2 linked regions of the Oryzias latipes genome follow. The protein of the gene in region 1 interacts with the protein of each later gene in a pairwise test. Links are inferred from orthologs where the notes say so. Each region holds a gene or a part of one and is shown on either strand. Other genes may lie near its edges.

What was found.
Region 2: the proteins of retinoic acid receptor RXR-gamma-B (region 1) and metallophosphoesterase MPPED2 interact in binary tests that used the Homo sapiens proteins (3 or more experiments, as listed by UniProt). The two-hybrid records come from large-scale screens. The link is inferred for Oryzias latipes from reciprocal best matches to the Homo sapiens genes RXRG and MPPED2.

What each region holds. Positions count from the first base shown.
Region 1 is NC_019862.2:29,482,915-29,498,414, reverse strand, and holds the start of retinoic acid receptor RXR-gamma-B, read right to left. Parts: upstream 9,429-15,500; 5' UTR 9,272-9,428; coding exon 9,241-9,271; intron 1-9,240. UniProt on the Homo sapiens protein: Receptor for retinoic acid. Retinoic acid receptors bind as heterodimers to their target response elements in response to their ligands, all-trans or 9-cis retinoic acid, and regulate gene expression in various biological processes.
Region 2 is NC_019861.2:5,992,208-6,007,489, reverse strand, and holds the start of metallophosphoesterase MPPED2, read right to left. Parts: upstream 8,280-15,282; 5' UTR 7,888-8,279; intron 7,271-7,887; exon of another isoform or gene 7,165-7,270; intron 6,970-7,164; exon of another isoform or gene 6,666-6,969; intron 6,292-6,665; 5' UTR 6,119-6,291; coding exon 6,006-6,118; intron 1-6,005. UniProt on the Homo sapiens protein: Displays low metallophosphoesterase activity (in vitro). May play a role in the development of the nervous system.

The sequences.
Region 1 (15,500 bases):
AGTATCTAAGTGAAGCGCACAATACTGTCTTCTCAATATGAAAGCTTTAAGCTCAACCATCGTTTTTGCTCAAAACATGATGAAACACAAAGGCCTCATAAGCCCAGTTGTGCTTTTAGAGGGGAAATCACAGAAAGATGCTCCTCCATCATCAATAAACAAACAGGTGTTTTGCAAAAGGTGTTTTTTGAGTTTTCAGTAAATTGCTCTGCATTCTACATCTAACCTATGAGTGTAACGTGCTCCTCTAAACAACAGTCCACATGAAAAAAGGGCTGCGCCGACTGTTGTCGGACAGATAAAATCACCAGCATTTGCAGACAGTTAAGCCACAGCACGCAAAACAACAGCATGTGCTCAGGAGAGCTCGCATCGACACCTCCCACTCCTCCCCAGGAAGACAGAAAGTCATCAGCGTGAGCACTGGGAGAAGGATGAAGCATGACAGACAGCAGACAGAGAGATAACAGGAAAGGACAAGTGTTCAGAGTTAAACAGATAGAGAAGGACAAGGCACAGATATGTATATGTATATGTAAACATGACAGCATGTGACCCACGCATGTTCAATTTCTTGTGTTCAGCATGACTGTTTGTGTTCAATGGCATTCCAGGATGTCAGGAATTGTCTTCTTGTAAATGTTGTGGGGTGGCCAAGAAAGCAAACAGCAGAGTGAAAACCCAGATGCACACACAGACCAAAAATATACCCTAAAGGCAGCGGGGGAACAATACCTGACAAATCCTGAGAGGAGCATAGAAACAGCAGTCATTGATCATTGTTAGAGGTCTTCAGAAATGGATTTCAAAAAATAATAATAATCTTATGTTGGGATAGAAGAAAATCAAATCTTTTTTTTACCATGTGATCATGTTATTTATTTACCATGACAAAAAAAAACATTTAGTTGCAGCTGAATCTTCTAAAAAACTCCTGTCAGTCCATCAAATATTTACACAATGCATTAAAACACAACACTGAAAGCTGAAGAAGCTTTCTGCGGCATGGATTCCAGCAAGCGACTTTTAGTCACATACACCTGTTTGAGGGGTTGACCTGTTTTTCTCCATGTGAGAAACATATGATTCACATTAATAGCATAAACAGTCAAAGATTTACAGTTTGACAAAGACTGTGTCTTATTTAGCTGTCGACGGCGACAGCTGTGGTGTTAAAGGGTTAAGGGGAGCACAGGTGTGACAACAGCGGAAGTTGCACACATGACGTCCAGGTGATGCTGTCAAACAGCGTCCTTACGCCACACTCTAGTCGTGCTGGCAGTGCAGATAAAACACTTAAGAGCTCAAAAAGTTGATTTTGTATGATATAAGCCTTTTACAGTTTTGCCCATGTTTTGCCTGCAAAAAAGCCTGTTTCCACCTGTAAGAGCAGTTGTGACGAACGCATTGACTCTGGGTTCTTTTGCAGAACTCCTGCCTAACTCTGGATCACCTTTGTTTATGGATCTAAACACACTACCAGTAGCTGCATCCTCTCGGTGACAGGACCTTGGCAGGTAACTGAGGAATAAGGAACTACAAAGCTTCCCTGTCATGTTTAAAACCATTGTGCTATCTTACATGACCCCACCCTTACATTGACGTGTTCTCCCTACCATGACAAAGGTGGACAAAGGGGGAAAGATTTTTAGTAATCCATGGACACCAGTGAAGATCACAAATCATTGAAGAAAAAAGCTTCAGCGCACTGTCTAGTGGGTCTAGATGACCCAACTCCCAATGGTAAAGTGCCTAGGATAGCACAAGGGTTGCCAAATCTCTCAGGGGAAAAAAATTAAATCATGTGATTCTTCCTAAAAGGATGCTGTGCCATGATTGTGTGTCATGGCCCACATAAAACATGTGAAGTTAACCTTAGGAGCTCTAATTAGCAATCACACATGCGTCATGGACAGGGAGAAAGATAATTGGCAGGCCTAAATTTAGGGTAGAATCTTAAATGTTTAATCTGATCCTGTAATAATCTAATCAGTGTGCTGTCATCTCAGGAGGAAACCTTCCTCTTCTGCCCTTTGACTTCATCCTAGCAGCCAAATCTGGCAGCTTGGTGAAAATAAATATGCACAGCTGTCTGGTAAAGCTGAAAACAAAAAAGAATGAATAATTGAGAGTCCTTTGGAACCACGTTAATATTTTGTTGATTAATTTGTGGATTTTTTAAAGCATGATAATAAATTTAAACTAAAACTGAAGGGTCTTAAAAGTTACACTATAGGAGAAAACATTGCAATAGTGATAAAATGAGATGAAATATCAGATATTTTTGTGTAATAAAATATTCATTTTAATTCATACAGCCATCACAATAAACTGGATCTTTTACGACTATCAGCATCATTCTGTTAAAACAGAGCTCTGATATATTTCAGACACTAAGATGGTTAATTGGAATCCAGTTCTCAAGGGTATTTAAACTGTCTTAATGCTGCGCTTTTAAACATCGGCAGAGGTGGTGTATGTTACAAATCCAAAGACATTTCCAGGTTAGCAGCTGAAGATCTTTTTTTAAATACAGTCTGGAAAAAAATTGATGTAAAATGTCAGAAAGTCAAAAGTCAGTCAGTTTGTGAGCGCACGTCTGTTCTGATACAGAACAGAAAAAATATATTTCAGGAATGTAAAAGCTCTTTTTTTTAGCTATACTATTTCATCTGCTATAGAGGAAGACAATATATTAAATTATTTATGACAACTAACAAAGAGTGTTGTGTAGAAAGGTTCAATTCCCAGAGTAGAATAGATATCTTCCACTGACACTGACTTTAAATCAGGATGTTTTGTCAATAAATGTAGATGCCAGCAAACTCTATTTATGATTAGAGTGTATAGTAAAGTAACACTGAATCATGTATTTTCATAAACCATACAAGAACACATGGATTTGACCTAAAAAAAAATCTGCTATCTTCCTTTTTTAGTAGGCATTTTTTTGACAAATAGATAGATAGATAGAAACTTTGTTAATCTCCCAAAGGAGAAATTCATACTGTGTTCACATCCCATAATGTCCGGCTACTGTGGCCATTTGGGTTTAGTTGCTCTGCTCTGAGCACAGACTTATCAGACTAAGGAAACTCAGAAGTTCAGTCCGATTGGAATCGTATCAAGACCGCCTCGAAAGATGGGTCAGAGAGCGGTTTCTGGTCCCAGATCAGGCTCCTCTTGGGTGCATTCAGACTGAAGATTTGTTCCGGATTATCGGAGGAATCGAACTCTGGTTCACTTTAAGCGAACCAAGTGTGTCCAGTCTGAGCACCTAAAAAAGTACAGGCTTAAAAAGGTGGCCATACGTGTTCCTCCAAACTGGGAACTGCTAACGAAGAGCGCTGTACTTGATGTTGGTGAGGGTCCGAATGATTTCATTCTGTAAAGACGTCACATAAAACCCTAAAAAAGATTTTGTAAAAGAGCTTGGAGGCTGAACTTTGGTTCAGTCACGCTGCACCACCGTGGTCTTTTAATGAATGTCTAAATTCTCATAATTGGTTTAATTAAAAAAGGCTAATCTTTCAAACATTTTTAGATTATCTTTTAAAGTCAAACTAAATAACACATTGCAATTCCGCCTGGATTGATGAGGACAACATCAAATGAATGTTAAACACGTGGATTTGATTACCGATCCTTTTCCTTTTAAGGATTCATTTGTGAGTCTGTAACAGGTGGAACTCTGTGTGCACAGCTGCAGCTGTACTTTTCATGTAAAGGGAAGCCTTTAATTGAGCTTTCCTGCAGCTGGTCAGTGGATTTATAAAATCCAACCTGGAGACCTTCACTGTACGTACATGGGACCTGCAGGTTACCTGCTCTGCTGATTACTCTAACGTGGGCTAAAAACTTCACATCCCAAAGGGAGGGGGAAATTGTCTAAATTAGACCATTTATCTGTAAGACTATTTTTAGACAAAGGGTTCTGTTTGAGTGGAATGCTTTAAAAACAGCAAAAATTTGACAGAGCAACTAAAATAAGGATTTATCATCAGTTATTATAAACAAAAAGCTGAAATTTTTAAAAATACAAACCTTTTATCTCTTTAGTTAAAAGCGTGATTTACAGGACTTCTATAGAAAAAGTCTGACTTCAGCTACGTGCACACTGGGCATGTGAGGCACGTTCAAGAAAGCATTAGACAAGTGGTCTTGGTAGCATGTTTCGCCAATGATGTTCACATGGAACAAGCAAGAAAGGGGGTTCTGGTGAATCTTGCTCCAGGCTTTTCTTTCACAACTCTATTCTGATATATGAAAGACTTGGTGTCATAGAAACGGGAATAATTCATATCCTCTTCATGATCAATTTTCAAACAGTTGGCACTTCCATGCTTTGAAAAGGATGCCATCCGTATGTCCCAACCCAATCTGAGTCCCTGATTGGTCAAAGGTTGACCTTTACTTTCAATGGCCATGTGTCTTGTACTTAAAGCCAGGGATGTAAAGATTTATTTGAATAATAATTTGATTTATATCACAATCTGTGGTTTCCAATACGATTCTTAGTCGATATTGGACAAACTGATTCAATCCGATTGACTGACCTGAAACGACCTGAAACCTCCAAACGAGCTGTAAAACAGCTTCAGTACATCCAGAATGCTGCTGCTCGAGTCCTGACCAGAACCAGGAAGTATGATCACATTAGTCCTGTGCTCAGGTCTCTGCACTGGCTCCCTGTACCTCAAAGAATAGACTTCAAAGCAGCTCTGCTTGTGTACAAGTCTCTCCATGGCCGAGCACCAAAGTACATCTCTGACATGTTGGTGCCATATGAACCATCTCGTACTCTGAGGACCTGAGGGGCCGGCCTCCTGTTGATTCCCAGAGTCAGAACTAAACAAGGGGAATCAGCGTTTCAATATTCTGCAGCTAAAATCTGGAACAGCCTCCCTGAAGGCGTAAGACAGGCGTCTTCTGTGTTCATGTTCAAATCTAGACTTAAAACATTTCTGTTTAGCCGTGTATATGACTGAAAGGTCCTATCTGCACTTTTCTTTCCTTTCCTTCCTTTCTTTTTAAATCAGTTTTCAATTTTTTTTTTCTTTTCTTTTAAAGTAAATTTTATGTTGATTATTTCTATGATGTATTGTGATTTTAATGCATTTTTCTGTTTTGTGAAGCACCTTGAATTACTTTGTGTATGAATTGTGCTATACAAATAAACTTGCCTTGCCTTGCCTTGCCTTGCCTTGGATCCAGGACATCTTTAGCCAAAACTTCAAACAGTTTGACCATTTGGGTTTAGTCAGACAATCGATCTGGTTGGATGAATCGATTCATTGTTATGCCGCTACTTAAAGCCTGAAAATGGTCTTAAAAACGTACAGAGCTATGTGTGAACACGAGAGTTTTGAACGTCAACTTTAACGCACGAACATTTTCATTGGTTGCTTGAGCACGTGTTGCCAAAGGCAGTGTGAACGTAGCTTTAGACTGAACTACGGTTCCTGCCTATGTCGACGGTCAAAACCAACTGTATGAACATACAGATCCATTAACGCATGGTTAAATGCATATTTCATTCATTTTAACATTTGTCTTCAGCCGTTTGCTTTAAACTGTTGATTATAATAACAAAACTAGTTTTTCTGCTTACAACCACTGAGTAAGATTGTTCCTAATTGATCTGAAAACATTTTGTTTTTTTTCAAATGCAAAAAAAAAAGGACAGTTTTTTTTTTCTAGTTTGTTTGATGAATAAAAGAGTCAGACTTCATAGCCCCAAAATGTTGATGTGCGGTACTGTGAAATGCTGTCTGGCGCTGTACTGTTTATGCATTTATTTACCTTCGTTTAAATGTTTTTTTTATATTAAAGTCCCACTCAGATCATTTTTTTATCTATTTACAAAGCGTTCCCAGCGATCTTTTCATTCTGATTACGACTTTTTTATCCAAAATAACAGGAAATCTTGTCATTTTCTAGGACATAGTTTCTGCAGAGCGGCAGGAGTTCCTTCATTCATAAAAATTTTTGTGGGTGGGACTGTTTGCGCAGAGTAAGTCCGCCCCCATTTCCCATCATTCTTTTTGTTACACCCTCTCCTTCTAGCTTACCTCACAGCCCAAACCGAAAAATAGCGGTGCAACAAAAATGGCGAGCATCATTGTAATTATCCAGTCATACAGTTTAGATCCAGATTCCAGCTTGGAAGAGGAAAACAGAGACGTTCGGGAATCTTTCTGCAAATTAATGCATCAGAATGGAGTGAAGATAGTTTTCTATGTCACAAATAGGACCTTATTCAAACCGTTTTTGTCTGTTCGATTTCAACACAGAAATACTCAGAAATGCAAATTGAAGCTAATATACTGTATGTCCTCCATCATCAGAAAAATGCAATAAAAACATGTTAAAAATACAAAAATCGCATTGGATTTTGTCTTCAAAGCAGATTATTCATCTCTTTGTTTGAACAGTTTTATTGTATCAGGTGAAGATAAAAAGGGAAAACTGCATCATGCTCTCTATCAGCCGTCTGCTGTGTGATTTCTGATGACCGCCATGCGACTTCTGCCAAAGAAAAACACGTGCATCCATGCCTGTTTGCTTGCTGTCACTGCAATAACAGAAAAGAAATTGCTTAATCCATCTCATGATCAAATCCGGATGCAGCCCTTGGGCCTTCCAAGGTTCTCCACTTGATTAAAGCTGGAATTAAAACAAGGCTTTGACCTTCATGACTAATGACTAATTGCAAGCAATTAGCCCAAAGAATTGACTCTTTAAGCTCCTGGTTTTTTTCTTGTTCCTAGTCTCACAATCAGCAGCTGCTTAACAGGGTTTCACGCTGACTTACAAACACACACAAAGTAGTAAAACCCATGTTCTGTTTTGGAGACGGAATCTAAGGTCCCAGGCTCAGGCTCGGGTGTTTCAGCGAATACAGAGAGCCACACCCTCCATACCTGGGAGGTTCATCTAATTCTGCAAGCTCCTGAAACTGTAACTGGGAAAAAGCTTTTAACGCAGCAGTCGTCACCACCGCATTTTTCTTGTTACATGTTCATACAGTCAGATATGCATTTGGGAGGCCTGCGTGGATGCGATGCAGTGTGGCTCCGTCTCTGCCTCACACACAGATGAACTCTGACCCCGGCCCGGTGATGAGAGTTCAGGTTAACTGGGGTTACCCCTCTCTGCCTTTCTTTTCTGTTTGTTTCCCTCCCTTCGACCTTTTTTCTCTCTTTCAGGACTTCCCTGAAATCAGTTCTCACCAGCAAAAGTTGCACATTGGCGCTCGGGCTTGTCTAGAATCACTTCCACTGACAGAAAATATAAAATGCTGAAGTGCTGAGAAAGAAAAAATGCTGATTCTACACCTCAGCCCCAGGCAGGGCTGCGTGAAGCCTCCCGAAATGTAAGGCGTCTGCGGGGAAAGGCTGAGGAGGATCTTGAAACAATCCATATGCAATCAGCAAATACTTTCTTGACTCCACATGCCTAAGCTTCAAGCACATTACAAAGTCTGGCTGCTTCAGATTTAAGGCACAGGCTTAACCTATAGCTGTTTCCATAAACTTGTGTTGGAGCCGGGACGTCAAATAAATCATAAGTGAAAGCCAGACGCCAAAAAAAAGCCAACGAGACTGAAGCCTCTACGTACATTTTGTGTATCTTCCACGTATAAACTTTTGGCATTTTGTGATCCATGCGTGATATACGTGATTCATAAGTGTTTCCTACGTTCATCATCGTGTCATCGTAATACATTTGTAAATTTCCACGTAAAGACCACAACCTTTCTAACTCTTTCAAACGAATATTCACGCATTACCAAATTTCATCCATGCAATATGCGCAAAATGTACGTAGTGGCTGTGTGAAACGGCCTTGAGATCAATTTTCTTATGAGCTGGGTTTTAACTTAGCGCTTCGAAATGAAGTCTAGAAACATAAAAACTACATTTAGGGTCAAAACATGTTGGAAAATGTCATAAAATAATTTTTTAAAAGCTATTTTTGCTGTGGCTGCTTTTACAAAATACTATAAAAGGTCTTGCCGTTTTGCCAGGCCACATTTGAAATTAAGAATATTGTTCGTAATCTGGATAAGTAAAGGTTAAAAGATATATAGCCAACATGCAAAGACCCATATTGTTTATTTTTTAATGGTTTTCATGACAAAAGCGTTTTAAAAAAAAAAGTTGATTGATTTAAGAATATTCCATTTCTAGGAAATAGCTAGTGACCATAACTGATGTTTATCTTTATGTCATATATGTTGAACATAGCTGAAATCCTGGGATGCCACTGCTGATCACTAACAGATGAGAAAGACCATGAAGCCCTGAGGTTACGGCTCTGTTGCACAGAAGACTTTCCCATCGAGATGATTCCGAAAGAAGCTTTCTTTTGGGGTGGAAATGTTCTGGAACATCTATCCATAATGTGCGTCCCTGTTAGATTCTAATATCTTTAATTTCTCACACAAAAGCCTCATTTTGTGGTGTATTTTTACAGCAGAGCAGCAATAAATGTGTCATTAAGGGAGGAGGGAGGAATCACATGACAAGTGATGCATGACTCAGCAAGACAAAAGGAGCATTAGACTTAAATTGAGATTCAAACAACAACTATTTACGCAGAAAGTCGAAGTGGGTTCACAACACATGTTGTTGCTTTTTAAAGTCACTAAAAACATTAAACCAAACTAAAGCAGCAGCTGCTTTTAAGGCTGGAGGATTAAGTTAGGGATGAGGAGGGTTCGGCGTGAGGGGTGTCCCGGTTATGGAGCTGAGAGGCGCAGAGCGGCCCGGATCGGGGCGCGTCTGACGCGCGTCTCCGTTCCTCGGAGGCTTTAAGTTTGTTTATCAGCCGCCATTCCTCCGCGCGTTTCTGCGCACTCCTTCCTCGGACCATCCTAGACCAATAAATTCTGCTTCTGTCTCAAACTGTTTAGCAAGAGACGCGCGACAAGCACCATAAATTACATAAGCGCAATTAAAGTGCCAACCTCTGACCTTGCCGGATCGCCAAAATCACGATCGCCTAGGTTGGACGAAGGTTTGCTCGTAGGCTTTGAGGAAAACCTCCGTTTACCGGAGACCCCAAACCGTTTCTGCGGACAGGAGTTGCCGGGTAAAGTCCGCCAGCACTTTTTCGCGCACAGCTTGCAGAGAGTACAGACGCCATGGAAAGTGAAGTCTTCGGAAAACGCCGTGGCTTTGCCGGCTGAAACGGCTGCCGCGCGGCGCCGCGCACATGCGTGGAAAGCGTACTCACTCAGGTGCAAGTATGGATCACTGCTGTCCATAGTGTGCGGGGTTTTTGCGCGGATTTCCTACGGACGGCGCAGCTCCGCATCCCAGCGCATTCCTCTCCCAGCCCGACTGAACTCCGCGAGGCGGGCGGCTGAGCGCGCGGGGGCCCCGCGAGGGAGGGGGCGGCGGAACAGGGCTTCTACTCCCAATGACAGCAGTGGTCCATATCAAGCTCCGGCGCAATCATGGCGAAACATCTCCCCTGCAGCTACACCGTGTTGCAATGTTTTCCCAGAGAAGGATTGCTGCTGGTGTAGGGCGGGAATCTCCACTTTTAGCCATTTTCCTCCTTATACTCATTAGTTGCTGAACGTTACATTTGCATGTAATCATTTTTATTACTAGTTCTCACAGTGTACTTTTTAATTTGTGTTTTCATGTCTGCAACAATAAGAAGAATAAACCCAAACAGGAAAAACTAGTTGTTTTCCTTTTTAAATTACTTGCTTTGCTCCTTTGAGGGGACCCCCCCCCCCCCCCCCATCTGTTTGTTGTCAGTGCTAGTCTCAGTCTGGGTACCCCCATCCCTCCGGAGTCCCCTCCCCACACACAGCCCTGTTCAGATTGCAGGGTCATGCAGGGGTGAAGCTCCTGGTACCTCAGAAGGTTATTCAGGAGTCAAGCTGGGCTGAGGCATTCACAGTCTTGAACCGCAGAGCAGGCAGACGCTCGGTCAACGCCAGGCCGCTGTCCACTCAGCAGACCATTTGGGGCTGGCCCGCTAATGGGACAAGCACCCCCCCAGCTCCACTGTCCTTGTAACTGGGAGCCATAAAGGAGCTCAGGAGGGTCCTAACCAAGATGAATGGCATTTTTTTCCCCGGCTCATTCCACGCTAATCAAAGCTTTTCATTTGGTGTGGCCTCACGCCATCCCCTCCGCTGCAGCCTCTATTAGGTCAGATAGCATATAAATTCATTAAAGTCAAAGAGGGACATTAAAATGATCATTTGTCAGAGCCCCCTTTGTTTGTTGCTAATGGTGGCACATGGTTCAAGGCATTGAGATGATTTTAGTAAGACCTTTTTAACTGCTGTGCATGAGCAGGGGGACGTGGGAACAAGAACGCTGGAAAAACCTTTGCTTTTCTTGAAATAGTGACTTACACCTCCTTGTTATTTCTTTATTTATTTTTGTAAGATAAATGAGCTGCTGCTCACCTGATCCGCCTGTTTTTTATTTCATCAGGATGTTTGAGTTAGCCTCTTTTTGCCTGATCACATCAAATGCTTAAATTGGTGATAATCCAATCCATCAGTTTCAGATTACGACTCCCCCCACTTCAGAACACACATGCAAAACTCCCAGTTAGTGAAGCAACCGCTAATCCCTTTGTATTCACAGCCCTGTTCCCTCCAAACAATGTCCTGAAGCTTAATCCTAAACCAAGCTCAACCAACATATAGACCACCTGCTCTGCAAGTCACAGTGCAGCTAAGAAAACTTCAACATCACAGGTTGCCTTAAACCGGAAAGCTCTCCAAAACGGTGATGCAGTTTCAATTTCAAACTGAATTTCTCCTCGTCTCTGGCTGTACCCGTCCCTTGCTGTAGGACGGAGGCTTTGGCAGCGTCGTCATGGGAGGTGGCTCTTTCCATCTGCCTCCATAGTCATTAGCCCATCACGCTTTATCAGGAGGTGCTGCAACCTCCCCCCGCCACCATCACACCCTCCTGGGCCTTCCTCACCACAACCCCTACCCCCTGCTCCATACATAAGCCTGAGATGATAAGTGCTCAGGCCGGGATAAGACAATGCCACACAACACTACAGAACATCATCCATCTCAGAGGTCATCAATCTGAAACACAAAAGATGAAATGTGAGTCGGTTCCCTTTCGGCAAAACGAAGTTTGTCCTTTTTTCCTGCCAGATTTGGTGATATTTATGTTCAACCTGTGCCTGTTGTGTTTCAAACACCACAACTTAATAGAAACAACCAAACATTTAACAGTAAAGTGTTTGAAAATGTCAGAGATGAAGCTGTCAAGCCATCCAAAAATCCTCAGATGTTTTCAAATTAAGTAAAAACCCCAATTCAAATCATATTAATCATTGTTTGTTCATCTTCTTTTACACCTTATTAGGTTAAGATTATCCCATGACCAGTATGTGGCTTTTTCTCATCTGTTGTTTCCTTTCTGTGAACACATACATTTTCATTTTATCCAAAATAGTTGATAGAATTATTAGTGAAACAGTCTTTCAGAGCCGGAGACGCCATGCAGGCTTGGGATGACCGAGGACCACGAAGAAACGCCAGAGCCGTCCAAGACCCTGATGGTGGTTGGGCCCAGAGAACCAGGAAGAGAAGGAGGCGAAAACCGGCGAAAACAACTGAAATAAACAAATGTTTGTGAATTTAAAAGCAGGAATTTGATCATGATTACATGATTGTTTTTTGCTTTTCATTTTATTTATACATTCTTGCCAATGGGCCAAAGGCCATGAATAGGCCAATTCACACTCTAAAATCACAAGATTTTCATGTAAATACACCAAGTAGAGCATAGTAAAACAAAAAATATGATGACATATTACATTATTATATACATAATATTTTGCTTTTATTTTCTTCATCTTATTTTATTGCTATTTTTATTCTTTGATTGCTATTTTATCACTTGCTTCTTTGCACTGTCATGCTAGTGAGAAACATCATCTCGTCTCACCTGTGTATTTCACTCCAAAACTATGCGTGAAATGACAATAAACCAAATCTTGAATCTTGAATCTTGAAACTTGACAGAGAAGTTCATTTGCACAAACCTTTAATATACGTCAAAATGGGGTGAATAACGGTAACAAGTTGTGCCAAAGCTTCACTTTTAACAGATTTTTTGAAAGAGTGTGCACACGATCTCAACTGTATAAGCAACATTTGTTTGGATTTATTTCTATTTCCACCACAAAAGCCACATTTGTTAATTAATTTGTGGCATCAGTTCCTTTTTCGGTTTATGAATTGTGGGAAGGAGGGTTTTGACCACGGCTATCGCACGCGGCATCACACGTATGCACAGTTATAGAAATAAAAGAATAAAACTGTGTTATTATTATTATACTGCTTTGATTACAGAACAATCCCTTCAGTTCATCAACAAGCGGCTTCGGGATCAGGCTGAAATGCATTAAAAATCAATAAAGGCAAAACTGTTCATTTTATTAGATTATTATTATTATTATTATTAAAGTTGTGTATTAAATGAAACCCAGAGTCCCTAATCTACTGGGTTTAAACTATGAAGATCACAGCAGATAGTCCTGCCGTCTCTGTGTGTTTGAGGCTTTGCACACGATCAATATGATGAGCCCGGACTGATGCAGACAAAGGACATTATCCCTCACAACATTACTCCGACACATCGCTTGTGATCAACATTTTAGGACACTGCAAAGCAGCCATATGGTTTTTGGTTTTTCGATACATCAAATCAAATCAAATGAACCACATGGGCTCTAACGCTCCAGATGCAAAATTAAAAATTGGGATTAATATAAGCAAATTCACATAATTTTTGATGAAAAATAACTTGAAAAAGCTGATTTGGCTTTAAATGTTAATGTTAGGTGGAGTCCGGGCAGATGGTTGGCCCTTTATTAGTCGTAACCTTCCAGTAATGAGTTAAGACTTGCTCTTCTGAAATGAGCTGAATCAGACCACCTCAGGTTAATCTCACTACGTCCTGAAACGCCTGTGAAGGATTAGACCCAGCGTCCACCTGCTGCTGTTTTATCACACAATGTTTGTTACCACTGCAATTGCAGCATTTCTAAATTAAAATTGATTATTGTCTTTTTTTTTTCGGTACCAAAATATCTATGTTTAAGCAGTAACAGATTCATCAAAGAAGTATTGTTCACCCCCATATCACCTGCAAAAAGCTGTTTAGAACTGCTCTGTCTTTATTTTACATTTTTATTTTAATTAAATTTGTCATATCTGCAGTTGGTCATGTGGTGAACATGCATTCTATTTAAGGGGGGGGCTCGTCTTTGCCAGGAGAAGCTCTGGAAGCCCCATGGGTCTATCTAGGAAAACATAATTCCAGGAATGGATTATTATCTGCAGACAGAAAGGTCCAGCCGTTCTACTGTCCTTGGCCTTCTGTCACATCTTTGTCAGTTTCACACTAGGAGAAATAAATGGACTTCCTGCTGAATGTCATGGTTGCTACACTACCAAATGATGCTACTACAGTAGAGAAATTTGTCATTGTGGCCTGCATTGGTCAGCTCACATACTGGTACAGATTTATAAATAAGGGCCTCATTGGGCGGCTTCTTTCATGAGTGTGGGTCTTCAGCAAAGGCCCAACGGACCTTACGCTCTCTGCTCCCTGGATGTTTAGTCACTGTCTGTCCCTTGTGTTAGGACAGAGAGGGAAAAAATTACTTTTCAGCGTCAGGCATCTAAGGACTGGATTTTTCTGTAAAGGACAATTGAGCTCGTCTGTGCTCCTACACCTGACCGTGTACCTGTACCTGTTCCTGTACCTGTACCCCTCTCCTGTACATGTTCCTGTTCCTGTACCTGTCCCTGTACCTGTTTCTATTCCTGTACCTGTTCCTATACCTGACTGTGTACTTGGCTGTGGACCCGACCTCTGGCTCGTCTCACGCCGCAGCCGTCCCCCAGTTCCATCTGGATGGAGTCCATCCGCTGGACTATTTGACCCTTGTGCTATCTTAGATGACCCCATCCTTACTTTGACGTGTTATTTATACCATGACAAAGGTGGATAAAGGTGGAAAGATTTCATGTAATCCATGGACACCAGTGAAGATCACAAATCATTGAAGAAAAATTGTTCAGAGCACTGTCTAGTGGGTCTAGATGACCCAACTCCCAATGTTAAAGTGCCTAGGATAGCACAAGGCTTAAACATGTAGTGATAGAGTCAGAAAAGCTATTTCTTCTCTATGAGTTCTGGTACATCGCCTGTCCGTCCTGGCGGAGGATCCCTCCCTGAGGTTTCTTCTTTTTTTTCTGCAATCTTTTTTTTAGGAGTTTTTTCTTACCGAGAAGGAGGGTTTTAGGGCAAGGATGCCCAGTTTAGCCTAGTCTGTTTAGCACTTTAGTTTAGCGATTATCTATTGAATTCTATGACTTTGCGTTTTTTATGATTTCATGTTTATTATAAATTTACCAGTATGAAGCCCATTGAGACTATTGTTGTGATATTGGGCTATATAAATAAAACTGAATTGAAGTGAACTATCACATCTCAAGACTTTGTCTTGGTTCTGAAGGACCTGGAAATTAAATCATTCATATGTTGTTTTTTAATCTTTTTTACTGTTTTAATTTTGTTAAATGTCTTGGGTTGTGCCTCAGGAGTCGCTTGAAAAAGAGATCTGGAGATCTCACTGGGACTTCCTGGTTAAATACTGGTTAAATAAACAATAATGATAAAAATAGTATTGCCATCAACAGCAAAAAAAAAAAAAAAAGACAGAATTGTATTGGTACCCGCACTAAAAGACACAAATTTTACTTTTTTTTTTACCTTACATCTCAGTCAGGGTACTTTCAGAAATCCCTTTATTATCACTGCTGTACAATATAAATGGTGATGGTCTCGAGCTGTTTAAAGAACATGTAAAAGTCAGGGTTGAAATAAAATAAAATGTAAATCAAAAATGCAATGATGAACCAGGGTGTGTAAAGTCAAATGTACATCTATTGCACTTCCTGAGCCAAATTTTGCATGTGGAAGGTAATATTATAGATGTTGCAGTGTTTTTTTTGTTTTTGCTTTTGTTTTTGTTTAGTAGGTTGACAGGTTGCCTGGAGAAGAAAGTTTTTGGTCTGTTTGTTGAGGGCTTTGTGAGAGTAGCAGCTGAAACAGGTGGTGGGTAACTCCAGTCCTTGAGGGCTTCAGTCAATCTTTTTTTCCAGAAATATCTGTCCCACTTAGTGCTTATTACTTGGATTAGGTGTAAGAAATCAAGCATAGGTGCAGTTGGAAGTCAAGCAGGGGAGCTGCCCCCCGCTGGAGACCCCTGATCTGGGTGCTTACCACTGACACACTTGTCCAAAAGAGTTTTTCTTCACCCTTTCATATCATGCTATCAGCACGTTGAAGCTGCACTCGGCAAACACGGTAAAGATACTTTCACTCCAGCTGGAAGTTAGACATGAACAATTGATCTAACGATAATTACCACTTAAGCTCTTGCAACCCTGTAGTGTTATTATTATACTTTTAGCTGAACGA
Region 2 (15,282 bases), on another chromosome or scaffold:
GATCATTACACACTTAATAAAGAAGAGAACAAGGTGCAGTGTCTCTACTGCAAAATAGAGCTGGCATACCACAACAGCACATCTTCCATGATTCAGCATCTGAACAGAAGACATCTGCGTGACCGCTGGAACCCCGACGCCTTAGGCATCTTGCTTGATTGTAGGTGACCAAATACTTGTCCGTTAAAAATCAGACAATGTGATTTTCTGGATGTTTTTTCTCATTTTGTCTCTCATAGTTGATGTATACCTATGATGAAAATTACACGCCTCTCTCACCTTTTTAAGTGAGAGTACTTGTACAATTGGTGGCTGACTAAATACTTTTTTGCCACACTGTAGTTTACTTGTCTTATCCCTCCTCGTTTTCACACAGAAAAGTATCGATAAGAGAAGTAGTATTGATAACCCATCCCTACCAATGAGTAGGTTTAATGAACAAACAAGGTTTAACATGTTTGCAAAACCTGATAACAAATATGGCAGGGTCTTTTCCTAGAAGGTGGAATTCCTTTTTTTTGTGGACTCACATGAGTGAAAACAATTGACTGTATGTGAGAACTGCTTCGATCAAACACGCCAGGTTCCCTTTGGTCATTGTCACATCCATGTTGTTGCCATGTGGCTCCTTATGAATGATGCCGGCTTTTGCGAAAGCTCAAAGAACAGTGCAAGCAGACACGTTAGCCCAAGCTGTGGCGTAAATTGCCCGGCGCAGCCTCCCAGTCTTAGTAAAACTGTATCCGCTGTTCGACTGTGACTCACCGGGATGTCAAAAGTGAGCGGCACCTCATCCATACTGATGATGTGGTTGGGCTGGATAGGAGGGGAAGATGGACAGCTTTTCAATGTAATGGAAGTTGCTGAACTACCGTAGTCCTTGACAGGATGGAAAGATGGCACAGTTTCATAAAATGAAAGCACCAAGATGGACCTCATTAAAATTGCCCAATTTTCGATTCCTCTGCAAGCGTCACTGCCTTCAGTTGAATAGTGACCATAGAGACACTTCTCCCAGCTGTTCTCTGATCATGAATTCATCGCTTGAGTCGGTCTTCCAACTCGGCCCACCTCGCCTTGTTTCCGCGGAAACTCAGCTGCGTCTTTTTGACGTGTCAGAGTTCGTTTTCCAGCTTCCTCCACTTGCGAACCATGAATTCATTCATCTTGAATTCTCTCGCTGTTGCTCGATTCCCATGTTCCTCCGTGTAGCTGATAGCTTGCAGTTTAAACTGTGCTTAATAAGCGTGTCTCTTTGCAGGTTGCATTTTCAGGGTTTCCAAAACAATGTTGTTCTGCAAAATGCACATACCTACATTATTGTACTATTCGGGGGAGTGTCTTCTTTCACGTCCTCACTTCCCTCCTTATCGTTTTCATGCTGTCCTCTCCTGCGTCCTCTTTACCAAAGTCACACAACAACACATTAGGCTCACCAAGGTACATTTTGGAGAAAATTTAAAAACTTTTAGGTCCGCCTTATTCAGTATTTATAAGTTTGCACTACATGGCTGCAAAAGAGGTGGACAGAATAGGAGATGTCCTCCTTGCAGTCCTGACATAAAAGAGAACGTGTAATGATTTTGAGCAAAAAAATAATAAATCCAGTATTTCTGCAATTGAATCTTTGTAGCTGGTATCACGTGTAATACAGTTAGAAAAAAACTGTAACACTTCGAAGGCCATTATTCTGCTTATACTATATACAAAATAAATTAATATTCAATCAGTTTTTCGTACTTTATTCGTGCTATTTTTTCGGTTGAGATCACTTTTTGTGTATTTGTTACATGGTGCGACGCTTAGCCGGCTTATCCGGCACCGACCTCGACTGCAGCAGCAAAGTAAAGCGATACATGTGCTGATCGTCATGATGGGTTAAATAAAGTATCAGTTCAGAGAGAAAGTTGGATTTTTAGTCTAGTACTAGGACTTTCAAACATTCAAATATTATTTTACACCAATGGTTATTGTTTTGGTAATATGATTGTATAATTTAAATAAGTAGGAAGCTAAGTAGGAAGCCATTTCTGAACAAACCCCAAGCATACGATCAAGTTGCATTTCATTACACAGACGAGGAGAGGGAGGCTGAACAGGGGAAAAAAATACAGACAGCTTGGAAAAATAAACCAGACACAAACAGGGCAGGACACAGACGGACGTCCCATGCTCCGAAGAAAACTAACTCTGACTTCAGGGTCACGTTCCAATGCATTAGCTGGAAAGTGTGTGTGTGTCTGTGTGATAGAGATTGTATGACGATGTGTGCGCTCCACCAGCATGTTCTGAACTACACAAAAGACCCTCCTGTACTCCATCTGAGAAATCTCAATATTCTGTCGGGGGGGGGGGGGGGGGGTGTTAAAAACATTGGAGCTGGGATTCCAATTCAAAAAAGGGGGCACCCTCCTCTCTCTTTCTGTGTCTAACACAGAAGTTACATTTTTTATGTTTGAATGATGTGAATGGCGAAAGAACCACCCGCACGCTGGATCCCCACCTCCCCAATCTAAACAAGTCTTTACTTTCCTAGAAGAGAACACACTTGAACATGATGGAGGGGGGATGGGCCTATAGCGTGATTGCAAGGTTCCCACTCAGACTTAAAGAATGACTGGCTTAAACACTGCAGGCTCTGTGGAAACCAGGAAATGGACTAATGTATTTATCCAAACACATATCTGCTGAGAGGCCCCACGGCCTCAATACATCCCCTTTGACTTGAACTTCATTTCTAAATCCTACCACCAACAAAGCGGAAAAAGGTCAGGAAATTAGTGACTTTAGGGGAATTTTTTCTTAGCTCTTTTGCCTTCTAATAGAAGAATCTTGGAGTGTTGGTCTCGTTATTTCAGTGAGTGCATCTTAAATTATTGAACATAATTACTACAGAGGAGAGCTTCCTTACATTTGACATGGGCAGTTTGAATTAACCTTCATCCAGACATTTGCTTCAGTGTCTTATAAAGGTACTGGTAAAGGAAATATGGAACAAACTAAAACATTGGTCCTTTGCTACAATGTTGTCTTCCTGTTTTTCAGATTTATTAGAATATTTTTTTTCTTTTTTCTTTTAATGTTACAGTGCATTGTGTTCTGTGTCCTGATTGGCTATAGACCACTGTCAATCAATCTCCTCCTTGCCGTGTCTCCTGTACAGAATGCATTCAGTTTGCCAAATCTACGTAGATCTTCAATTACGAGCAGATCTTTGTCTACATTCCATATCTTTTTCTACCAAGATTAGAATTTTACAGTTTCTGGAGAGCAGGAGGAGATTATCAGAAAATTCACCTCCGAGTTGTGGACGGGACTGTTGGTGCATAGTAAGCCCGCCGCCACTTCCCGTCATCCATCTGGCTTATAGTTCCTCACTCCCCCAACCTTACACTAGCGGTGTAACAACAATGGTGAGCAATAATGGAGCTATTCCGCCATACAGCTTTGAGCGAGAGTCAATTCAATTCAATTTTTTTGTATAGCCCAAAATCACAACAACAGTCGTCTCAATGGGCTTCGTAACGGTAATTGTAAAGTAAACATAAAATCAAAAGGATCATGAATACATAGAATTCAACCGAGATGTCAGCTCGAACAAGAAAAACAAACATGTTCATGGATCCATTTGTCTGCAAGTGGATGCATCAGAATGAAACGGAACAGGGAACTTGTGACCTGCCGATTGTAGCTTCTACCACCCAACTTCAAGCTCTTTTCAAACTCCTTTTTTTATCTGCTCCTGATTCACAGAAAAAAAAAAACAAGAAAAAAAAACTCGGAAACTTCGTTTTAATCCCAATTTTTTATATGTGCTGTCCATCATCAGAAAAATACTACAAGAACATGTTAAAAACACCATTTTCATTGAAGTGGGTCTTTAGGGTTGTTGAGGCTTCAGATGGCCATCAGACAATTCTATCACCTGTTTTCATACAGAAACCTTATAGCTTCAAATCTTTTGAAAAGCATCACAGCTTCATGTGACTTTATCGGCCTTCAATCATTTGATTTTCTTCAAACTGTTTCCTTCCCAGGACTTCCAAACTAATCCACTGTAATTGTTCTAATTTTGTTCATAAAATGCAGTTTCAATTAAAACATTAGGAACAGAATCACCAGACCTTGTGCATTTTGGGTAAACACTATAAAAGAAACACCAACACAAATGCTGGATGGCTGGATTTTCAGCTCAGCAGTCTGCAGGGATCTGTGATGTAGTTTATGTGAAGGCTGACTCTTAAGATGTTTACATTTCTGCAATAAATAAGCCTTTTAAACAGGCTTCAAAACTTCAACCCCCCACCTCCCTTACAGTAAACACATGAATATGCATGCAGCCTCCAGTTTTGGAATGCTCAAACTTCATCTCCAGAAGAAATTTTGCCATGAAAAACTTAACTGCATCTGGGCATTCATTAAAGATGATGACCAGATCTTTTTGCAGCGCTTCAGCACTTTTCATTCCAAGAGACAATTCTCCTATAGTTTTAGTCAAAATCTCTTGACTTAGATGCTGTTTAGGTTTAGTCATATTTTAGTCATTTTGACCGTTGGTTTTAGTCGACAGAACACCATAATGGCGTAGTTGGCTAAACTACAATAGAGTTTTAGCTGAATAGAATTAATGTGAAAAGTAAGGCTATTTCTTATAATGAGGTTAATATGTAAAACATAATTAAAAATGTATTTGTTAGGTGTACACACACTAACTTTAATCATTTGCAATAAGTTTGAATGTTTTTATTAGCTTAGTATTTTTTTCTTTTCTCTAAAAACATTGAAATTTTAATTCAATGAGAAAAGAGTTTTTTTTTAAATCTTCACATAAAATACACAAGTTAATACTAGTAGACATCAGAAGCATTAGTTCAACATCAAAACTGACTTTAAGTGCAATAGTTAGTCATTTTCATAAACCTTTCATGAACTATATATATAAACTCAAACATTGAGAGAAATGTGTTTATACTATCCTGTCATCAGCTCCCACTCTCTGGGCAATTAAGCATATGAAATAAAAATAATTGACAGTGGTACAAATTAATTTAATATATTAAAAAAACATAAAATCCAAAATAATAATTGCATTATGTATTCAAAACAAATATGTGGATTTCAGAAGGCTTTGCCTGCAAATGTAGATTGTGTTTTCAACTCTTCTTTTTCTAGACCTTTTTTTCATTTTCACTGCATAGATGCAACACATGGAAACTGTTTGCAGCGTCTGCTCCGGATGTTCGAATGAATGATCCTCCATAGGTTATTTTTGTCTGGTTTTTATTCATAAAAAATAACTTTAAGTGTTTTTTTTTAAATAAACGGCAGTTTAAATTATTTAATAAACTATTTAATAATAGGATTGTGGATAGGAGACAAACTGATGTTTTGCTGGAATGTGTGAGCCTTCAAAAAGGGAGGCACTTTGTTTCTACACAACACTGAACCTTGAAAGCAATTTGACCAAAAACATCTACATTAAAAACAGTAAAATAGGATGACAATAAATTTGACTGAAATTTAAATAAAGCATGTCAGAATTTCTCACTTTGAGGAAAGCTGTGGAGTAAAGGGCACCAATCATGTGGCGCGTCAGGGAGCGAATGTAGAGATTCCAACAAATTCAACAGGTCACAGCAACCACAGCCACTATTGACTGCACACTTAACTAGTCTCACTACTTATCTGATTGTTTTACTACAATGAGAACCAAAAAGAGCCGCATGAGCATTAAGCAGACGACAGTGGAAACAAGCATTCCAAAACTGTCTCAGTTTGGCGGATCCGGAGTTACATCGTGCAGAATTTTAAAACAAGAACTTTCAGTCTAGTTTACGGCTTTTTAGATCATTTTTACTTAATGGCCTTAAAACCTTAAAATACTCCAGATTGGATTTATGCTTCACTATAGCTGTTTGGATGATTCTGAAATAATACTACTGACCCACAAACATTGTTAGATAAAAGCTAAACAGTTTCGACCGTGTTCGACAGCGTGTACTCACATGTGGACGTGTGGAGGCTGGAAGCGGCTCTGGTTGATGTTGTAATGCGTGAAGGCTTGTGTCGGGTTGGAGCTGTACTCGTCCACTGTGATGGTCACTTTGCCATGAGCCATCCTTCAGCTGTTTGGACATGAGATGCCGTTTGTTCACCGAGCAGCAAACTGTGCGATGGTCATCCTTCAGAGTCCCTCAAGAAGCCCACGAATGTCTGCCAGCAGCACCAGCAGCCACTCAACCAACCGACCGACCGACCGACCGACCGACTGACCGACTGCACTGCTACAGTCTGGACCACAAACACAAACACAAACACAAACACATTACTTTCTGGAGACACAACATGGAACTGCACATCAACCGCTTTTTTTTTTTCATTAAGCCAAACAAAATGCAACTAATAAATTAAACTTGTCTAATAAAACACAAAGTATTGTATCCATGAAATGAAATAAAAACTTTACATTGTGTGAAATTTTAAATGCAGGCAAATTTTTTTGCAAGAATTTACTGTACGTTGATCAGAAATTTCCCAGCATAAAACCGGTGTTGCAAAAGGGGAAAGTTTAAGATGCTGATCCCAAGAAGACATCCATCCCATTCAAAATGTGCAAAGAAAAGCATTCCAGCCTTTGAGGACAAGCATTGCTTTGCATCACTCACCCAGCTTTGCTGCGGCGTCTCCTTTTACCCTGAGCCTCCTTCCTGTCTGACCTGATAGTTGCTGTGTTTACCAGACGCTTTATACCCAACCTGCGGATGCATCCAGGCACCAGGGGGAAAGAAAGTCATGGGGCGTAAAGCTCTCACTTGAAAAAGTCTGGAGAATAATTGGCAGCAGCAGCGCCCACTGGACAGTCCTGGGATGCAACAACGGGTGAGGCAAAGGCTGCTGCTAACTTTGACCAAACTGCCCCATTTCCACCAGAGAGAGCATTGATTTCTGGTTTCTGGGTCACCTGGATGCATGCCCCCCCTCCCCCCCTCATCAATTCATTTGATCCAGAAAGGTTGGAAGAAAAGAAAAAAAAGAAAAAAACCTTTGAATGATGCAACAAAAGGGGAACACCTTCATACAAACATTAGGCTTAAAATTACTCTTTTTACAGCAGAAAATTCAAGATTGCAAATGAATTTTTTTTTATTTAAGCGCATCACTTACTTAGGTTTAGAGGAAAATCATTCCGCCAACAGAAAGAAAGCCATAAAAAGCTGGATTTCTGCAGCGACTCAACAAATGAGCTTAATGTCGCAAATGTAGGCCGAAACACTAAGGACTGATTTAGTGCGCGTGCAGCTTCAAAGTCTCCTCAGAGTACGCGCGCGCGTGAGTTTAAATGGGGTGGGGGTGGAGGGCTCCCTGCCTTGTCTACCTTATGGCTACAGTAGCAGCAGCAGCAGCAGCTAGCTCTCTAGCTTAGCTAGCTAAATGTGCGCCGGCTCTACATTTTCGCATCGCTCGCGCCTTTCGCCAGCCGCGGCGGCCGGCGTCGCACACAGACATCGTCCCGTCCGCTCGGTGGACACACGAGAGCCGGCGGTGTCCACCACAAAGCGAACTTCACGGGGAGAAATCCCTCCGGTAAGCGGAGAAGGCGAATAAATTGACCCTTTCTGATATGCCGTGCATACACGTAATGACTTTTGCGCCGCTCGCGGTGCAGCACACATAAAGGAAGGTCGGTTCTGCCGTGAACTCTGCTCCTTTAACAACACCAGACAGCCAAAGGTGGTCGGTGTCAAAGCACCGCCGCTAACCTCCTGCTCCTCCTCGTAAATGACAAGCCGCCAGTGAAGTGGCGGCTTTGTGTCAGGTCCTGTCTTTTATTCTCCTCTGCCCCCCCTCCCGGTGATATTTTAGAGCAAAGCGGAAAGGCTGCAGTACCTTCTTCTGTTGTTTGTTTGGGCTTTTCTGCTTGTTATGTGGCCGAAGAAACAGTGTCGGGTCGGGGTCGCACTCTACGCAGAGGCAGCGGCGGCGGAGGAGGAACGTTGGTCCATGCGGTGCCAGAAGGACAGCGGGCGGGCTCGTTAGCAGCAGTCCGAATGTTGCGGCAGTCTGGGCGGGTAGGGCGAAACCTTCGACCCGGCGGGACCTCTGCTGGCTTCTGTGGCAAGAAACCAGACAAGGAGGAGAAGGAGCCCGAGAGAAGGACGAGAGACTACGCTGACAGACGGGAGGGGGGGAGAGAGAGCAGCCGCGGTCTGTCGGAGGGGGAGCCGGGGTGCAGTGAGTCGGAGCTGCCGCTGGGGTCAGAGAGCAGGAGAGAGCACAACCCCCTGCCACCTCACGTGCGCGCGCGACCCTACCGTTGTGCTCGCGCGCAACGTGCCGCTTTCTCGTTGCATTCACTTACTTTCGGAAATAAAGCTTCCCGTTGAAATGTACACCCAGAAAAACAAATATGTTGAATCAAAAATAAGTGTTTAAAGGAAGATTGTGGAGGACACAGTCAGACAAGGACTTTAACGGGAACTTGATATACCTTACTTTGAGAAAACTGAAAACAAAAAAGATGGAAGGACAAAAACGGTAGCATGAAGTAGGATGGACCAACCTTTCCTCTGAAGCTGTCATCATGTCTGCATCCACATGCTGATGCAGCAGGTGACACGCCACACATGGCAGATCTGGGTTTCCTGCAGCCCAACTGTTTTAAGGGCCTATTTCATGCTAAATTAACTTTTTGAGCTTTTAAGTGTAATAAAATTGTTCATTCCTCACAAAAAGAAACCCCAAAGCTGTATTTTGACCGTTCACGTATTTCTGAGTATCCCTCTAAAAATCTGTGATCTGAGCAACAGCCCCTCCTTTCTCATGAGCTGAGGTAGATAATTGGGGAACAGCCCCTTCCAGGAAGAGTCTGCACTGCCAGCTCCGCCCCCAGGTTAACACACTCACACTTCCTCCATGGAGCTAGCTGTATAAAACGCTTTTATACGCACAATATGCACATCCATCTTTGCAAAAGTTTGGATCTTTGTTTGTGTGGTCAAGACAGAGACATGCTGCTGAGGTTGGTTGATGTCATGAAATAGGCGGCACCCACAAGGAAGTAAAGGCTGTGCCTCAGAGATCAAGTCGTCTTACTTCCGGGGGGAAAATAACTGATAAAAATGTTTTCTTTTGTATGCCGGAGAAGGCAAATAAGTTGACCCTTTCTGATAGCGTGCATACACACATAATGACATATATAAAATACATATACATGGATATTGTTTACTATAAAAGTAAGTAAGTATAGCATGATATGGGCCCTTTTAAAGTCCCTCCCCAACTTGGTTTTCATTTCTATTGCAAAATCATTCCTAGTGATCTTTTAGATAAAATAAAATAAAAATAAAAAACGAGCTGTTTTTAAGACATTTTCTGCAGAGGAGCTCAATAGAAATTTGCTTTTGGGTTGTGGTTTGCGCAGAAGTTTGCCTAGCTAACTTCCCCGCATGCCTTTGTTTACAATCTCTCCCACTAGCGAAAAGTGCTTCACAAGCCCAAGCTAAAAGTAGCGTAGCAAAAAAACCAGCAAGCATTATCACAAGAATCCAGTCGCACAGTTTAGAGCCAGATTGCAGCTCAGACGAGAAAATGAAAATTTGTCTGCAAGTGGAGGATTTAGAATCGGAGCAGAAAAAGCTAGACTTTAGCCCGTGCATGCTTTTTCAAACATCCTGTTTTCATCTGCTCCTGATCTAACGCGATTTGAATAAAGAAATACTCAGAAACATAATTTTAATCTTAAATTATTTATACACGTCCTCTATTATAAAAAAAAAATGCTATAAGAACATGTTAAACACCAAAAACACAATTTTCATTGGAGTGGGTCTTTAAAGGAGGAACGTAACAGGAATGGTCATCATCCCTGTCTGGCTGCTTTCCTGCCCGTTCCACGCATAGACATCAGTTGTGTCCGATTTCCGTCACTGCTTAGTGCACTATATAGGGCATTCACTATTTTATCAGAATCTACAGTTTAGTCCGTTTGTTTTTTTACTACTCACTACATAGTGAACTATATAATACATTTGTCATTTTGTAGTGCTGTCCAAAGCTACAATTCTAAAATTGAGCGATAGAAATTTTCTAAAAGTCTCTGCAAAAAACCAGCATATATCGATGCCCACTAGATTGGGAAATATAGACCAGAATGCGTTGCATTCAAACAATTTTTGCGAATTCTTCTTTCTTCATAAATTATCAATATTTTCATCATCAGAACACAGTAGATTTATAGTCAACATAAAATGCTAGTATTAGGTTTTTACGATGCGAAACCTGAAGAGATATGGCCAAAGGAGCAAAAACACTTTGTGAAATTGGTGACATCACATTTGGTGTTTAAAAAAAAAAGAGTAGAGGGCATGCTGTCTAAATTGCTTTTAAAATCCACGCCACTGCTGCAGTATATAGTTTTTAAAAAGTTAGAGAGTAGAGAAGGAATTTGGACAGAGCCCAACAATCCTAAATCTACTGTTCTGGAAATACATCCCTGGAGTCTCTGTGAAAAACCAGTGCACATTGATGCTGACTAGATTGGCAAATATAGCACACAATGTATTGTGTTTGAAGAATTTTCCATTGAAAAAAAAATTAAATAAAATGTCAATTCTATAATTCATCCAAGTTCCCATCATCAAAACACAGTGGATTCATAAATAGTCGTCGTAAAATGTTCTTATTTATAAGGTTTTTACTCAGCAAAGTGGTAATGTCACATTTCCTTTAAAAAATAAAAGTAACAAGCATGTCTCAGAATTCCATGAAATCTAAAGTACTGGATTGGGGTCCTTTAGGGGTTAGGGAGTAGTGAGTGAATTCGGACATAGTCATGTAGACACAGGGCAAATAATCTCATGGCGAAAATGAAAACTGAAATGCATAGGTACAATAACTAGAGTTTACTCCCCCTAAACTCAACAATCCAAACAGTAATTGAGTAGAAAAAAGTTATAATTTGAAGCTCCATCTAACACAATAATACACTGAATGGATCATCTCTGTGCCTATTTCAGTGTTTCTTAACCCTGATCCTCAGGGGACACTGTACTGCATGTTTTCCATGTTGTCCTGATTCAGCTCATCATCCAACCACGCAGAAGCCTGATAATGGCAGTTATCAAGGGCAGGTGTGTTTGAGCAGTGTAGGATTAAAAAAATGCAGGACAGTGTTCCCCAAGGACCAGGGTTGGGAACATTGACTATAAAGGAGAACTGGACAGAGTCAGTGTGATGTCACCCATAGAAAATGGTTTACCTCCAGCTCAAATGAAACAAAGTAAATTCAGTCACCATTTTTTCACAATATGAAGATCGCCATGTTGGAGCCAGATGTCATCAGTAAGCAGTGATTAGTCCCAGTCCGTTTAGAGTCAACATTTACTGTATATGGACACCTCTCTCACCAATCAGGAGTGAGCTTGTTGGATTTCCATACCCCTACCACTTGAAAAGAAACTACACAAAATCTGTCAAATGTTTGTAAGGTTTGGCGAGAGACAGCTCACTTTTATTGAGGCATCTGATTGGCCAGTTTATAACTTAAATGAAAAAGCATTAGAATGATCAAGAACATGTTTAAAAATAAATCAGAGGAAGAACAGTTATTCTGACCAATAGAATGAGTTTCTCCATAGAAGTCTGTGGGATTTTAGTTTCTTGGAGCCAGCGGCTACCTCCTATTTGGAACATGAGTGGGGGAGGAGTCACTCAGTCCAATTCTTATACAGTGATCCCTCTCTATAACACGGTTTACTTTTCACGGATTTGCATCGTGCATTGTGTTCTGCATTCTGATTGGCTAAAAAGTCACTCTGCTTCTTCTCTACCTGCGCGTCAATAACGTTGCAGTTTAATATGTACACGTACGTAAGTCAGCGTGCCAAATTTACAACACGTACGTGCAAATCATCCTGCAATTTGGAGTTTCTCTTAAACCCATAGAAAACAGAGCGACAACAACTGTTTATCATTATGTTCTGCTCCCGAACAAACACACCTGCACCGCGGGCTTCAGAAGAAGGAAACACTGCAGAGCGGAGTCAGGATGCAGCGGCTCACTCTCAAGAGCTTTGATATACACCTGAGTCACTATTTGTCCGACTATACTTTGTAATTTTTTATTATCATTTTAAATTTTCTCCCGTTTAATTCAATTCTTCTCGGGTCGCGGTGGGCGTTGCTTATCTCCGCGATCTGAAGCATTCTGTTCACATTGATGATTCAAATTATTATTTGACAGTACAGTACAGAATTTATTTGTTGAAAAGAAAACTTTTCTAAAGTACTTTTATTTGTGAAACAAATGCTTGAGCCTGTAAAATGGTTTGTTCTTTCTTTTCAATGTATAATAGAGTTTTTAATTGGATGATACTTGTTAAAAAAATAGAGGTTTCTACTTCACGGATTTTGCCTATCACGGGTTCTTTTTGGAACGTAACTCCCGCGAAAAACAAGGGTTTACTGTACATAGTCAATGGTGTATACAGACCAAGTTACAATAGCAATGGCATCAAAATAAGTCATACTTCATACACTCCTCAATTTAATTTTAATTGAAAAAACAAAGTTGACAGTATCTCTCACTACTGTCAATATCAAGTAGAGTTAAGCAAGACCTTTCACTTCCACCAACCAGCAGTAAACTGGAGTTGCAGAACCCACGATAACTGCCAAACAAGCGAAAGAGATTGAATGCACTGAACAGATGTTACCTAAACCACAACTAAATAAGTGTTAAAATTACTTATAGTGAACACAGAAGATGGAAAGAGGCTTAGTGTCGTTAATGCAGCCTTTGGTACCTGGTAGGGCTGCACGATATGAGGAAATCTTGCGATATGCGATATTGGTGATTAATATTGCGATAACGATATAATTTGCGGTATATAAACAAATATCAAACCAACCAAAAACATAGTTTCCATTTCAATGCAACAGTATAAAAATTATACTCCAAATGACCCCTGTCGACATAGGAGGCAAACATCAAACATAAAAGGGCTCATTTGATTGATCAACAACGTAAACGGGTCCTTCCGATTGGTTAAATGCATAAAGGGATTTATTTCATTTATTCAATATTTCAAGCTGCCATGAGTTTGTTTTAGCACATTTAACCCTTGTGCTATCTTAGATGACCCCACCCTTACTTTGACGTGTTCTCCCTACCATGACAAAGGTGGATAAAGGTGGAAAGATTTCATGTAATCCATGGACACCAGTAAAGATCACAAATCATTGAAGAAAAAAGGTTCAGAGCACTGTCTAGTGGGTCTAGATGACCCAACTCCCAATGTTAAAGTGCCTAGGATAGCACAAGGGTCAAGGTAACCATTAATTGCGATTTTCGCCGTCTTTTGCGGTATGCATATTGCACAGCTTGATGTCGCGATAACGATAAATTTGCGGTATATTGTGCAGGCCTAGTACCTGGACAGTGTTTTGTTGTCTTTGGGCTTCTTTAAATAGCGAAGAAGGAAAGAAAGTTGCAGATGAATCTTCTGCGATGCTAGTAATAAAAATTCATCACTAATTCAAAGCACTGAACATTTGACCCATTGATGGTGGTTGCTAAAATGTCAGGGGAGCAATAAAAATCTCTTAAAATTATTAATGTCAGGATCTACTGACTGGGGGGCTCTTTATTTTATTGTTGACAAGTCGTGTTAATGGGGCACAATGTCTGTGTAATGCAATATTATATAAGGTCATAATTAAAGTCAGTTCATGTTTGTTCAGTGTGTGGGTGTGTGTGTTCTTTAACTCTGCAGGTACCAGAATACGTTAAAAACGTTTTCTTCTGAAGGTAACTGGCAGAAGTGAAATGCTGCCCAATCACTGAGTTCACCAGCAATTTAAATTATTCAGGGAGAAAAAATATGAGGGCCAAGACTGTATCTTTTTAATATACTGATGGGATTTTTGATGAAAAAAAGCTGCGTTGGACGATTCATAACACACTCGTCTTAGAAACTACAGCACATTTCCATGTCTGCAGGTTGAGGCAGAGCTATGTTTCTATAATTTAACCGACATGCTTCAATTTCTCAGGTCCATTACCAAGTCCCCCACTGGCACAACAGCCCCGCAGGTTGTTTTCAATTGACTTTTGTCTTATCTGCAGAGGAAAAAAAACATACAATTCCATCTAGCCAAAGTTTTGAAAGCGGGGTTTAAATTTAATGCGGCATATTCACATTTAAACATTTGGCCAGCGTTTGTTCTCCTGACTGCACGTAGAAATCCGATGAGAGATATGGGAACAAATGTCACAGAAGAAATGGCTTTTGCTATTATCACTTTGTTTTTCCCATGATGCACTGATCACATTTATGCAGCAGAAAATGTAGAGGTTGGGCAGAGACCGTATGCTTTATGACCTTTCATAAAAGTGAGTAAAATGATTTCTCAACTAAAAAAAGGTAAAAATGTATATTATAACAGGAAAATGCAAAAAGTTTATTTATATGAGTGGAATTACATCTTTGTTGCCTTTAATCACCAATGTCCATTTCAATGAAATGCCCAGTAGAAAAAATGTTTGCCCCTGAGCCTTAACTGCACTCAAAGGACCAAGCTGCTGGCCACACAGGATTTCGTCTTTTAAAATATTACTGTCTTTTTCTTAAATTTTTCCTGACTAGAGTGGATATGTAAAAGGAGTCAAATCTACATATTGGCTAATTTTACTACTACATAAAGTACTTGTGTTCAGTGGAGCTTGAATAGAAATGGAGAGCTGAGGTGTAGCGGAGAGGAATGGCATGGAGGGAGCGTACTTGCATGAAAGCCAAGTGTATTAATTCTCCTCCCTCCATTCTCCTGCTGTGTTATGATGGACTCAGTAATATGCAGGCTCACTTTCTGTGCCATAGGCTAGACAAAAGCTCACAGGAGACAACTCCGACTTGGTTTGCCTCAGCTTCTCTTGCCTAACCAATGAAAAACTATAAAAACAAAACCATTTTTCAGCTCCCCCAGAGATCCTATTTTACCCAGCCTCTGCTTCTGCTCTCCTCTCCCTGCATGTGAGAAACTGTCAATACCCTATAAATTAGGGTACGACACTGCATTTTAGTTGGAGTAACTGTCTATTAAATCATGTTAATTGGTTAGATGGAGATCACTGGAGGGCTGCACTGTGGTGCAGTGAAAGTGGTTTGTGGTTATCTCAGGTGTTAACCTGAGCACCTGCACTCAAAAAAGCTCCTCACCTCATTATCACTGAGGAAATGTCGCTGCTTGACAACAGTTCTATGAACATCACCATTCGGTATTAAT